Callithrix jacchus: one gene and its partners. The protein of the gene in region 1 purifies or fractionates together with the protein of each later gene. This does not show direct contact. Links are inferred from orthologs where the notes say so. Each region holds a gene or a part of one and is shown in the gene's direction. Other genes may lie near its edges.

The links.
Region 2: the proteins of PSMB2 (region 1) and PSME4 purify together in Homo sapiens (affinity purification with mass spectrometry; 3 studies listed by BioGRID and IntAct, counting the BioPlex papers as one, with this or other methods). This does not show direct contact. The link is inferred for Callithrix jacchus from reciprocal best matches to the Homo sapiens genes PSMB2 and PSME4.
Region 3: the proteins of PSMB2 (region 1) and PSMD5 fractionate together in Homo sapiens (co-fractionation; 3 studies listed by BioGRID). This does not show direct contact. The link is inferred for Callithrix jacchus from reciprocal best matches to the Homo sapiens genes PSMB2 and PSMD5.

The regions. Positions count from the first base shown.
Region 1 is NC_133508.1:72,192,678-72,196,326, reverse strand, and holds part of PSMB2 (proteasome subunit beta type-2), read left to right. Parts: intron 1-3,014; coding exon 3,015-3,177; intron 3,178-3,649. UniProt on the Homo sapiens protein: Non-catalytic component of the 20S core proteasome complex involved in the proteolytic degradation of most intracellular proteins. This complex plays numerous essential roles within the cell by associating with different regulatory particles.
Region 2 is NC_133515.1:60,550,457-60,554,720, forward strand, and holds the start of PSME4 (proteasome activator complex subunit 4), read left to right. Parts: upstream 1-1,412; 5' UTR 1,413-1,455; coding exon 1,456-1,697; intron 1,698-4,264. UniProt on the Homo sapiens protein: Associated component of the proteasome that specifically recognizes acetylated histones and promotes ATP- and ubiquitin-independent degradation of core histones during spermatogenesis and DNA damage response.
Region 3 is NC_133502.1:169,227,729-169,231,377, reverse strand, and holds part of PSMD5 (26S proteasome non-ATPase regulatory subunit 5), read left to right. Parts: intron 1-2,974; coding exon 2,975-3,084; intron 3,085-3,202; coding exon 3,203-3,343; intron 3,344-3,649. UniProt on the Homo sapiens protein: Acts as a chaperone during the assembly of the 26S proteasome, specifically of the base subcomplex of the PA700/19S regulatory complex (RC).

The DNA.
Region 1 (3,649 bases):
GATAAGCTTTCAAAAAGAGACTGGGATGTAGTTAAAATACTAGGAATTTTGGTAGCATCTTTTCTTCCAGAGTTTGGGATGCTTTATCGTTATTATTTTTTCTCGTTGTATTCCCTAGAAGATAGAAAGGAGAAAGATTAACCCAGTTTTACACATTAAAAAAAAAACAAACAGACGCTCATAGGGGTTAAGTTTTTTGCCTAAGATTGGATTTACTAAGAAGGTACTCAGAATGCACAGAGAATTCCAGAGCTTGGTAGAGTGTAGCACACTACTCATTGGGAAATGCAATAGGCAGATAATTATTTTCTCTGAAGTCAAGTCTTGACTGCTGGTCAACTTATTTCTCTCTGAGACTACCCACTATCTTATCACTAAAACAGAAACTTATCTAGAGGTCAGGACTACTCTGTAATCTCCAGGTGATGTTAGGAACCCTTCCTACTTAGCACAGCTGGCTTAGAATTCCAAGTAAGTATATAACATGAGATTTGCAATAGGCACGGTGGCATGCCTACACTTTGGGAGGCCAAGGTGGAAGGATCACTTGAGCCTAGAAGTTCAAGACCAGCCAAGGCAACATAGACCCCATCTCTCTCTCTCTCTCTCTTTTTTTTTTTTTTTTTTTTGAGATAGAGTCTTGCTCTATTGCCCAGTGGTACAGTGTCACGATCTCAGCTCACTGAGATCCACCTTCCAGGTTCAAGTGATTCTTGTGCCTCAGCGTAGCTTCCAGAGTAGCTGGACTATAGGCACATGCCACCATGCCTGGCTAATTTTCGTGTTTTTAGTAGAGATGGGGTTTCATCATGTTGGCCAGGTGGTCTCAAACTCCCAACCTCAAGTAATCCTCCCACCTCAGCCTCCCAAAGTGCTGGGATTACAGGTATCAGCTACTGTGTCTGGCCAAGACCTCATCTCTTAAAAATAAAAATAAAAATTAGTGGGGCATGGTGGTATGTGCCTATAGTCCTAACTACTCAGGAGGCTGAGGTGGGAAATTCACCTGAGCCACAGTGGGGCTGCAGTGAGCTATGATTGCACTGCTGCACTCCAGCCTGAGCGACAGAACAACAACAACCCCTTTTAACTCCCCTCGCAACATCCCCACCCCCAGAAAAAAGCAAAAACAAGGAGTTTTTTAAGGCTGCCAAGTACCTGTGTTAATCAGTGTTCAAAGAATGTTAAATGCCATTTTTAGGACCATTAGCTATTATACTTCATGCCTCATAATGAGGTGTCTCACTTACTGTGCGTTTGATTGCATGCATTCATAAATTCAGAGATGGGGACATATTCATGGGCAAGGCCTGCTTACTACCCACTGAAGCAAATGCAAGAGGAGAAACACATCCTGCAGAGAAAAAGAAAGCCATTTAAAATGGAAGTCCCACCACTGATGCCTGGGGGCATAGACAGACTGAATTTAACATGGTAAACGACCCTGCTGGTGTAGAAAAAAATATTCATCCATTTGGCGATGAAGAGCAGCGCAGACTCAGTCATAGTTCTCTATAGCAACTTATGCTTTTAGATTTGCAGGTAATAAAAGAAAGAAAGGATATTTATAAATCCGTTATAATTTTTTTTATTACTTTTTTTTTGAAGATGGAGTTTCGCTCTTGTTGCCCAGGCTGAAGTGCAATGGCATGATTTTGGCTTACTGCAGCCTCCACCTCCCGGGTTCAAGTGATTCTCCTACCTCAGCTTCCTGAATAGCTGGGACTACAGGCGTCCACCATCACACCCGAATGACTTTTGTGTTTTTAGTAGAGACAGGGTTTCGCTTTGTTGACCAGGCTGGACTCGAACTCCTGACCTTGTGATCCACCTGCCTTAGCCTCCCAAAGTGCTGCGATTATAGGCGTGAGCTACCATGCCTAGCCTTTTCATTACTTTTTATTTGTCTCAAAATTACTTCTCAGTTAAGTCTAGTGATTTGACTTAAATATTTAAGACTTACTATACCTCCCCACCTCATGAGTTGTTTCTTTTCTCTCTTTTTTTTTTTGAACCCAGGCTGAAGTGCAGTGGCACAATCACGGTTCACTGCAGCCTTGACCTCCTGGTCTCAAGTGATCCTTTCACCTTAGCCTCCTGAGTTGGCACCACATGTGTGTGCTATCACACCTAGCTAAGTTTTTAGGGTTTTTTTTTTTTGTAGAAATGGAGTCCCACTATGTTGCCTAGGCTGGTCTCCAACTCCTGGGTTCAAGCAATCCATCCTGCTTCAGCCTCCCAAAGTGCTGGGATTATACCTGTAAGCTACTGCTCCCAGCTATAAATTGTTTCTTTAGTAGTGGGCATACAGTTTACCACTTGGGATTGGTCCAGATGTCCAGATTGAGTTTGTTTATTTCATTTGATGTGCTTGGAACATCTGCTTTTTTCAGTCTGTGGCCTGGCATTCTCAGAATTGTTTGTTGTTTTCAACAATTAGGAATGACAGAGAGCACCTGTGCTTTGCCTGTGCAGTGCTTAAAATTTTTTTTTATTTTTAATTTTTGTGCATTCATAGTCGTATATATTTATTGGGTGTATGTGATATTTTGATACAGGCATACAATGTGTAATAATCACATCAGGGTAAATGGGGTATCTGTCTCCTCAAGCATTTCTCCTTTGTGTGACAAATAATCCAGTTATATTCTTTTCATTATTTTAAAATATACAATTAAACTATTATTAATTATAGTCACTCTGTTTTGCTATCAAATACTTTTGAAGAAGGGCTTTTATGCAGGTTCTCATCTGTAGACTTTAAGAAGATAAGAGCTTTTTCATATACCTTAAAGTGCTCCAAATGCCCTTCTATTCAAAGAGAATAACCCAATGTCCCTTGACCTGTTACCATACTCCAAGTCCTCTAGATTTCCCTACATTTTTACTTGCACTGTGATTTACTCAGTTGCTGTTAATACTTTCTTTCTCATCAAGAGTCAGAATATTCCCATTTGCCATGGGAAGAGATGTTAGTGTTCTGCTTATCACTTTGCCATGTCTTGTCTTTGCAGACTCCATATCATGTCAACCTCCTCCTGGCTGGCTATGATGAGCATGAAGGGCCAGCGCTCTACTACATGGACTACCTGGCAGCCTTGGCCAAGGCCCCTTTTGCAGCCCATGGCTATGGTGCCTTCCTGACTCTCAGTATCCTGGACCGATACTATACACCGAGTAAGTACCAACACTCTAGGAAGGGAGCAGTGACAGACCCCTGCCCTCAGCTGCTTCCCATGTTTGTCCACCCTTGGAGTTGGGTGGCCAGGGCTTGAATAGGATGGATCTTAAAAAGCACAGGTAGGTCCCCCTCTGGAAGCTGCACTCTTCTGTGGGTCAGTAGGGTCTTCTAAAAACTGATTTAAGTCCTATTTTTGCCAGCCAAAATGAGGTATTACATATCTCTAGAGCTGGGTTTTGTTTTGAAGGAGGATTGGAATAGATGACATAGTGAATAAAACATTTTTATTGGGTTCTAAAATTCTTCAGTTCTAAGACTTAGTTTTTTCACTTACTTTGCTTTGCCTAGATGCTTATTGGCATCTCAGTAAAGAACAAGTGAGTAAAGGAAGTAGATATATATTTGTTTTGAACTTGCAAGGATGAATAGGTCCCCAGCATGACAACTGAAGTTTCTTTGCTTAAACAT
Region 2 (4,264 bases), on another chromosome or scaffold:
CTATTTTATTGTATTTTTAGTAGAAACGCGGTTTCACCATGTTAGCCAGGATGGCCTCAAACTCCTGACCTCAGGTAATCCACCCGCCTTGGCCTCCCAAAGTGCTGGGATTTCCAACGTGAGCCACCATGCCCGACTCTCCCTCCTTTTTATTTTCTTTTGAGTCTGAGTCTCGGGCTGTTGCCCAGGCTGGAGTGCAATGGCGTGATGTCGGCTCACTGGTGCCTCCACTTCCCGGGTTCAAGCGATTCTCCTGCCTCAGCTTCCCGAGTAGCTGGGATTACAGCCATCTGCCACCACGCCCAGCTAATTTTTGTATTTTTAGTAGAGACGGGGTTTCAGCATGCTGGCCAGGCTGGTCTCGAACTCCTGATCTCAGGCGACCCTCCCGCCCCGGCCTCCCGAAGTGCTGGTATTACAGGAGTGAGCCACCGCGCCCAGCGCCTCCCTCCTTTTTCTAACCAACTTTGCACTCAACCCTTACAGCTTATTTTAAGTATCTCCCTCTCAACCCCCTTGCTTAAACTTCTTTGTAGAGTTCCCAAGGCTTCCTGTACTTATCTAGCAATTAAGAGCATTATCTTGTAATTCACGTCTTTATCTCTGCTAGACTAAGTCCTTGGAAGGGCGGAAACCAGGTTAAACTTTCCATTTCAATAGGCTAAACAGAGTGCCTTACACACAACAGTTGTTCAATTAGTATTTATTCAGTGAGTAACTATTTTCTTTGAAGGCGGCCAGAATACCAGAAAGATGGGGTCTTAACAGAGACAGAATTATAAATAAATCTAGAAGGAACAAGTGGGATGGAGTAAATAAATCTATAAGGAGCAAGTGGGTACGTGGACTTTTTCATAAACCCCTGTAACCTAGAAGCCGGGACTGCCCGGCTAGGGGGACCAGGCCAACTCGGCTGCCGACCGCAGCCACCCGCGGCGACTGGGGCTCCGGTGGACTGCCGGGGCCAGTGCGCGACCCCCAGCGAGGCAGGACAATAGCTTGGAATTCGGCCTCGTGTTTCCGGTGGGGCAGCCTCGCGCTGGGCCAGTGAGGCCAGGCGCTGGAGGCTCCGAGCCTAGCCTACGGCGAGGAAGGCGCGGCCCCTGGGCTCCAGCTGCCGCTACCACCTCCTCCCATTACGCCGTCGCCCCGCCCCGCCCCGCCCCGGAAGTGACTTGAGGCCTGTCCGGAACCTCTGGGCCCCGCGGCTGCAGCGTCACCAGCCGAGCCGGTGAGGGGCGGGCAGAGCGGCCACTGCCGCCGCCAACGAACCGGGAACCGCGCGGGGCCCAGCAGCACGCTGGCCAAGGAAGGGGGCCTAGCGATCGGTCCGAGGACGACGGGGCCGCCGGCGGCCGCAAGGCGACGAAGACGCGGAGGAGGCGGAGCCCGGAGAGGGGTGGGGGTCGGGGAGGGCTAGGGTGGGAGGGGGTGGGGTGGGGTGTCCCTGGGCTCATGGAGCCGGCCGAGCGGGCGGGAGGCGGAGAGTCCAGGGATCCCGGCGGGCGTCCAGAGCCGGGCCCACGGGGCTTCGTCCCGCAGAAGGAAATCGTCTACAACAAGCTCCTGCCCTACGCCGAGCGCCTAGACGCCGAGTCCGATTTGCTGCTGGCCCAGATCAAATGCAACCTGGGCCGGGCCGTGCAGCTCCAAGAGCTATGGCCCGGGGGCCTCTTCTGGACCAGGAAACTCTCCACGTAAGTGTGCCCCGGCCTGCGGCCCAGGCGAGGCGGAAACCCTCAATAAAAGGTGTCGGGGGTGGGTGCTCCTTATCCAGAGGGCTGGACCCTTAGCTCTGTACTCGCTGGAGCTGTCCCCGAGCGGTGGTCCCACGGTCATGACAGAGCCAGTGGAGCACTCAAGCCGTCCTCCTTGCCACTTTACTACGGGACTTCCCGGGTCACCCGCCATCCACGTCCTCCCCAGCTGCTTCTCCCGAAGCGTTCGGGTTGTTGTCTTCCGACTTGCGGGGCCCTGGGGGAGGGCCCGAGCCCCGAGGAAGAGAGGTGAGCCGTTCCCAAGAGTCCTCTTTGGACCTTTGCGCACGGGAGAGGCGGGGCACAGAGGATTTGTCTTTGGGGGAGTTCCTTGACTTCTTGACTTCTGTCTGTGCTTCCTCTGATTCTTCCTTCCCCTGCGATCCCCAGCTCTTCACATCTCCATTGGCGTCTAGTAACTTTCTGTATGGAAAGGAAGCCATAGGGAAACTTAGGGGTTCTGCTTTTTTGGGGCTCGCTCAGACCTGGCGGAGTTGATTGAAAAGTCAGACCTCATTCTTGAGGTTAACGTCTTAGACGTTAATGTTGACAATGTTGTTTAAGATTCTGAGGATTATGTGTTGCTCCTGTCGTGACATTTCTTTTGAAGAGACCTTTAAGATACTGAAAAAAACAGGGAAGAGCGCTGTCAGGATGTTTAGGGCGATATTGGTATCAGGCTTGAGTTAATTTGTTGAGTTGCTCAGATAACATAGATTACCTAAATCAGCTTCAGGAGTTATGTTGTTCTTTATAAAGTAGCTTCAAACAATAGTGTCAGTGAAATTAGAAAAAAAAAAAAAAAAAAACTAGTTAAAATACAGTCGGGGGAAAAAGTTAGATTTACTTGCTGGGTGGGCATCTTTACTGTATCCAAAGAGCTTTTTAAGAAAGAATTTTGCTGTATCTTGTTTGGTTAACTGTACATAAAATCTGGTAACATGGTATGTTCACGCATGTGGATATGGATGGGTGAACACACAAAACGAAGTCAGTTATTCAGTGTTTACCCAAATCTGCTGATTGAACTGAGTGATGACTCAGGGTTTTATAATAGTCTTGTCTATATTTCTTCACTGGATGATTCTTCTTTGACAGTTATTAGGGGGCCTCTGACAAATTTCTCATTTCTACTTGAGGGGTGGGTGGGAGTAGTTACCTTTTTAATTAAAAAGAAACAAAACTAAAACATGTAATTTTCCCTCTTCAAAGAGTGATCATGAAATGTCAAGGTTAACAACTCTTGTTGACTAGAGTATAAAGAAGTTTTTGGTGTTAGGATTCTTCAGAGAATGGGGTTGAGGGGCAGAAGCAGGAATGCAACAGGGAAAAGAACCACGGTTAGTCAAAAAAGAGTATAAATAGTTAAAATCCAAATGCTCTTTCAAGTGAGCCTCCTAGGTTTTCGTGTTCCTCAGGCACAGTAAAAATAGTCACTTTGTTACAGTAATTCCCCATTTTAATCACTTGGATTAGACTTGCCAGAGAATACCTACCATTTATGGGGACATAAACAGCTTTTTTTTAGATGTACAGTATATAAATATGCCATGGTGCCAAGACATGTCTGGTGTGGATTTATGAACCTAGAATCTACCAACGCCTAATTAACCATTGTTTTCTGAAGTATTTACTGTTATCAAGTTTGGTAAGTTAGCACCCAGTTTTGTTATTGTTTGGCTTATTAGGTAAAAAGTTTTTACCTAGAAAGGGCTAAAAATAACAGTGGAGCTAATTGTTTAGTGTTTAGGGATGAATTGCAGATAGCTTGATGGCTTTAATACCCATGAACCCATGGTATTAAGTTTATATCTAAATAACCAGCAAGAAATGCTATCGGGTAGAATTTTGTTTTGGAATAGTGGTTAGATGCTGGAAACTGATTGGTGGGATTGCACTATGAGATATTTTGAACGCGATGGGACATATTGTGATTTTGGTTGGGTGTGTGGTTTTTTTTTTTCCCTAAGTCATGTTAAGGTGACCTGTTTATAGTTGTGCTTGTTGTTTTTTAAGTCTTCTGTGTTGCATAAGTGAGCATCTGAATAATGCCAAAACGTGTGACGAAAGCTGAGTGGTGATCATATTTAGTACTTCAGAAAATAGAAAGTGGTAATGAAAAGAAAATCTAGTTTTTCCCACTAGCTCTGAGACTGTGGGAAAGTTACTTAATCATGTGTTTCAGTATTCTTGTGCCTGAAATGAGGGAACTAGACTAAATAATTCTTTTTTTTTTTGAGATGGAGTCTCGTTCTGTCACCCATGCTGGAGTGCAGTGGGCTCACAGCAACCTCTGCCTCTCAGATTTAAGCGATTCTCCTGCCTCAGTCTCCCAAGTAGGTGGGATTATAGGCAAGTTCCACCACACCCGGCTAATTTTTTTATTTTTAGTAGAGACAGAGTTTCACCATATTGGTCAGACTAGGCTTGAACTCCTGACCTCAAGTGATTTGCTCACCTCGGCCTCCCAGAGTGCTGAGATTACATGTGTGAACCACTGCACCCCG
Region 3 (3,649 bases), on another chromosome or scaffold:
TTGGCTCTGTTCTGGGTTATCTTAATTTTTGATAAGGGTTCAATATGTAAGTTCATTTGCTGGTGGGTTAACTACATTGTAGAAACTATTTTATGGGTTGCAGTCTTGTTAACCATGACCTTGGACTCATGTCTAAAAGTCTAATAATTAAATAATTACTACTGCAACCCCCTCTCCCCCCCCCCCTTTTTTTTTTTTTTGACTTTTCACTGTTTAGGTTTCTACCAATCAGTTTCAACCAAATATTGTTTTCTATTTCCCCTCTACGTCTTCTTTGGCCCGATTTCATGGTACAAAGACCATGGGCTAGAGTCAGAAAGGGCTGGATTCATATCCTTGAGTTTTCTATTCCTTTCTTTTTCTTTTCTTTCTTTTTTTTTTTTTTTTTAAGAGATCAGGGGTGTCTCTCTGTTACCGAGGCTTGCCTCAAACTCCTGGGCTCAAGTAGTCGTCCTGCCTCATCCTCATGGGCTGGGACTGCAGGTGCACACCATTGACTTTGCTTTTGAACTTCATTTACTCACTTCACTTTTCTAGCCTCATTTTCTTCATTTATAAAAATAGCATAACAACTACTTCTTAGGGTTGTTGTGAATATGAAATTTTGGGGGGGTTTGTAATGTCAAGAAAGGAAAATAAAAGTTTTTTAAATAAGATTTTATGTTAAGAGAGATACTTCTGGCTGGGCACAGTGACTCATTCAGCACTTTGGGAGGCCAAGGTGGATGGATTGCCTGAGCTCAGGAATTCAAGACCACCCTGGGCAACATGGCAAAATCTTGTCTCTATTAAAGAATATAATAACTAGCCAGGCGTGGTGCTGCGCAGTGCTGGTTCCAGCTACTTAAGAGGCTGAGGCAGGAGAATCGCTTGAACCTGGCAGGTAGAGTTTGCAGTGAGCTGAGATTATGCCACTGCACTCCAGCCTGGGTGACAGAGTGAGACTCTGTCTCAAAAAATAAAATAAAATAAAAGGCCAGGCGTGGTGGCTCACCCCTGTACTCCCAACATTTTGGGAGGCCAAGGCAGGTGGATCACTTGAAGTCAGGAGTTCAAGACCAACCTGGCCAACATGGTGAAACCCCATCTCTACCTAAAATACAAAAATTAGCTGAGTGTGGTGGCACGTGCCTGTAGTCCCAGCTACTCAGGATAATGTCTTGAACCCAGGAGGCAGAGGTTGCGTTGAGCTGAAATGACACCTCTACACTCCAGCCTGGGCAACAGAATGAGACTTTATCTAAAATAAAAAGAAAGAAAAAAGAAAGATACTCCTATGGAGCATCCATACATCCATGAGGATCAATAGCACAACAAATTATACGCACAAAATAATATGCAGCCCAATTGTTAAAATTCTTGATATGCATATGTTGAAAATTATCATGCCTATACTCCCATCACTTTAGGAGGCCAGGAATTGCAGACTAACCTAGGCAACAACAACAAAAATTAGTCAGGTGTGGTGTGGTGCATGACTATAGTCCAGCTACTTGGGAGGCTAAGGTGGGAGGATCATTTGAGCCCAGGAGATCAAGGCTGCAGGGATCCATGATCACGCCATTGCACTGCAGCCTAGGTGACAGAGTGAGACCCCCATCTCAAAAAATAAAAATTTAAATAGTTTGGGCAAGGTGGCTCATGCCTATAATCCCAGCACTTTGGGAGGCCAAGGCGGGTGGATCACCTGAGGTCAGGAGTTCAAGACCAGTCTGGCCAACATGGCGAAACCCGGTCTCCACTGAAATACAAAAATCAGCTGGGTGTGGTGGCATTCGTCTATAATCCCAGCTACTTGGGAGGCTGAGGCAGGAGAATGGCTTGTACCTGGGCAGCAGAGGTTGCAGTGAGCCAAGATCAGGCCCCTGTACTCCAGCCTGGGTGACACAGTGAGACTCCATTTCAAAAAAATAAAAAATATTAAAATTAAAAAAATTAATATGCTGTTGCGTATCATAGCTAATATCCTTGTTTTATGTAGTTTTCTAAGTGTTTTTACCTATGACATAATCTTTTTACATACCTGCAAAGAACATACTACTGTCATTTTCATTTTCCAGATAAGGTAGATGAAACTTAGAGGAGTTAAGAAAATTTCTAAGTTCATACTAATTAGGGCAGCTGCTACTCAAGTCTAGGTCCTTTGATTCCAGTTTTATAACTTTGCCTTATATGTGCTGTGTTGCATGTAATTGTGTGTCTAGGCCTGTCACTTGTTCTCTAATTACATGCTTATTTTTGTATTGGTCTAGGTTGGTGGAGATCATTGTGTATGACAGCATAATTTTTAAAAATCTCATTTTTCACTTCATATCCATTAGGATGGATATTACTTAAAAAAACCATAAAATAAGTGTTTTATGTGGAGAAACCATAACCCTTGTACATTTTACATTTCCTTCATCCAACATCTCCACTTCTAGGTATATACCAAAAAAAAATTGTACAAATGTTTATACACCCATGTTCATAGCAGCATTATTCATGATAACCAAAAAAAGGTGCAAGCAATTCAATGTTCATTGATAGTGAATCAATAAACAAAATGTGGTATATACATACAATGGAATATTACTCAGCCTTTAAAAAGAATGAGATTCTGGCACATGCTACAGCATGGAGGAATTTGCACCACTGATAACATTATGCCAAGTGTAGTAAGCCAGATACATAAGGACAGTACTGTATGATTCCACTTAGATGATATACTTGGAAGAATCCAGTTCACAGGAGGTAGAATGGTGGTTGGCAGGGGATGAAGGTAGGGAAGAAAGGGAATTATTGTTTAATAGATACAGAGTTTCAGTTTGGGTTGATGAAAACGTTCTAGAGATGGATAGTTATGATGGTTGCACAACAATGTGAATGTACGTAATAGCACTGAACTATGCATTTAAACATGGTTAAAATGGTAAATTTTATGTTGTGTATATTTTACCATGATGAAGAAGAATCTCATTGTTATCCTTCAAAGGAACTCGCTTTGAACGCTTGCTCGTGAGACTAGGTCATCAAGCAAAGAATGCCTCAATGGAGCTAAAAATTAGATGTTTGGATGCAATTTCATCTCTTCTGTACTTACCAGTAAGTAGACTGGGAAATTAATAAAGGACAGTGGGTCCCAGGTGTCCTGATTTCCAAATAAGTTCTTTTCTCCAGATGAATTAACCTTGTGATGAGATTTTCCTTTTCTTTCCTATAGCCTGAGCAGCAGACTGATGACCTTCTGAGGATGACAGAATACTGGTTTTCTTCTTTATCCCGGGATCCACTGGAGCTCTTCCGTGGCATTAGCAGTCAACCCTTCCCTGAACTACACTGTGCTGCCTTAAAAGTGTTCACAGTAGGTATTCTCTTCCATAGGTCCTTCTGGAACCCTGCCAGTTCAACACTTGAGTACTTACAGTGAGCTAGAGCCTGTGCCATCTCTGGGGATGCACAAGTGCAGAGTATAGTTTCTACCTTCTGCTACCTTAGAGACTAAAGAAGGAGACAGATTTATAAACAGATTGTTTCAGTAAAAGATACTAGGTGCTGTTTGAGGTTTGAACAGGATGCTATGTGATCGCATGGTTAATTCCAGAATTTTTATCTGCCATCCTCTGTTGACCTAGTCCTGGTCTTGCTAAGCCTAATTTCCCCTGCTTCT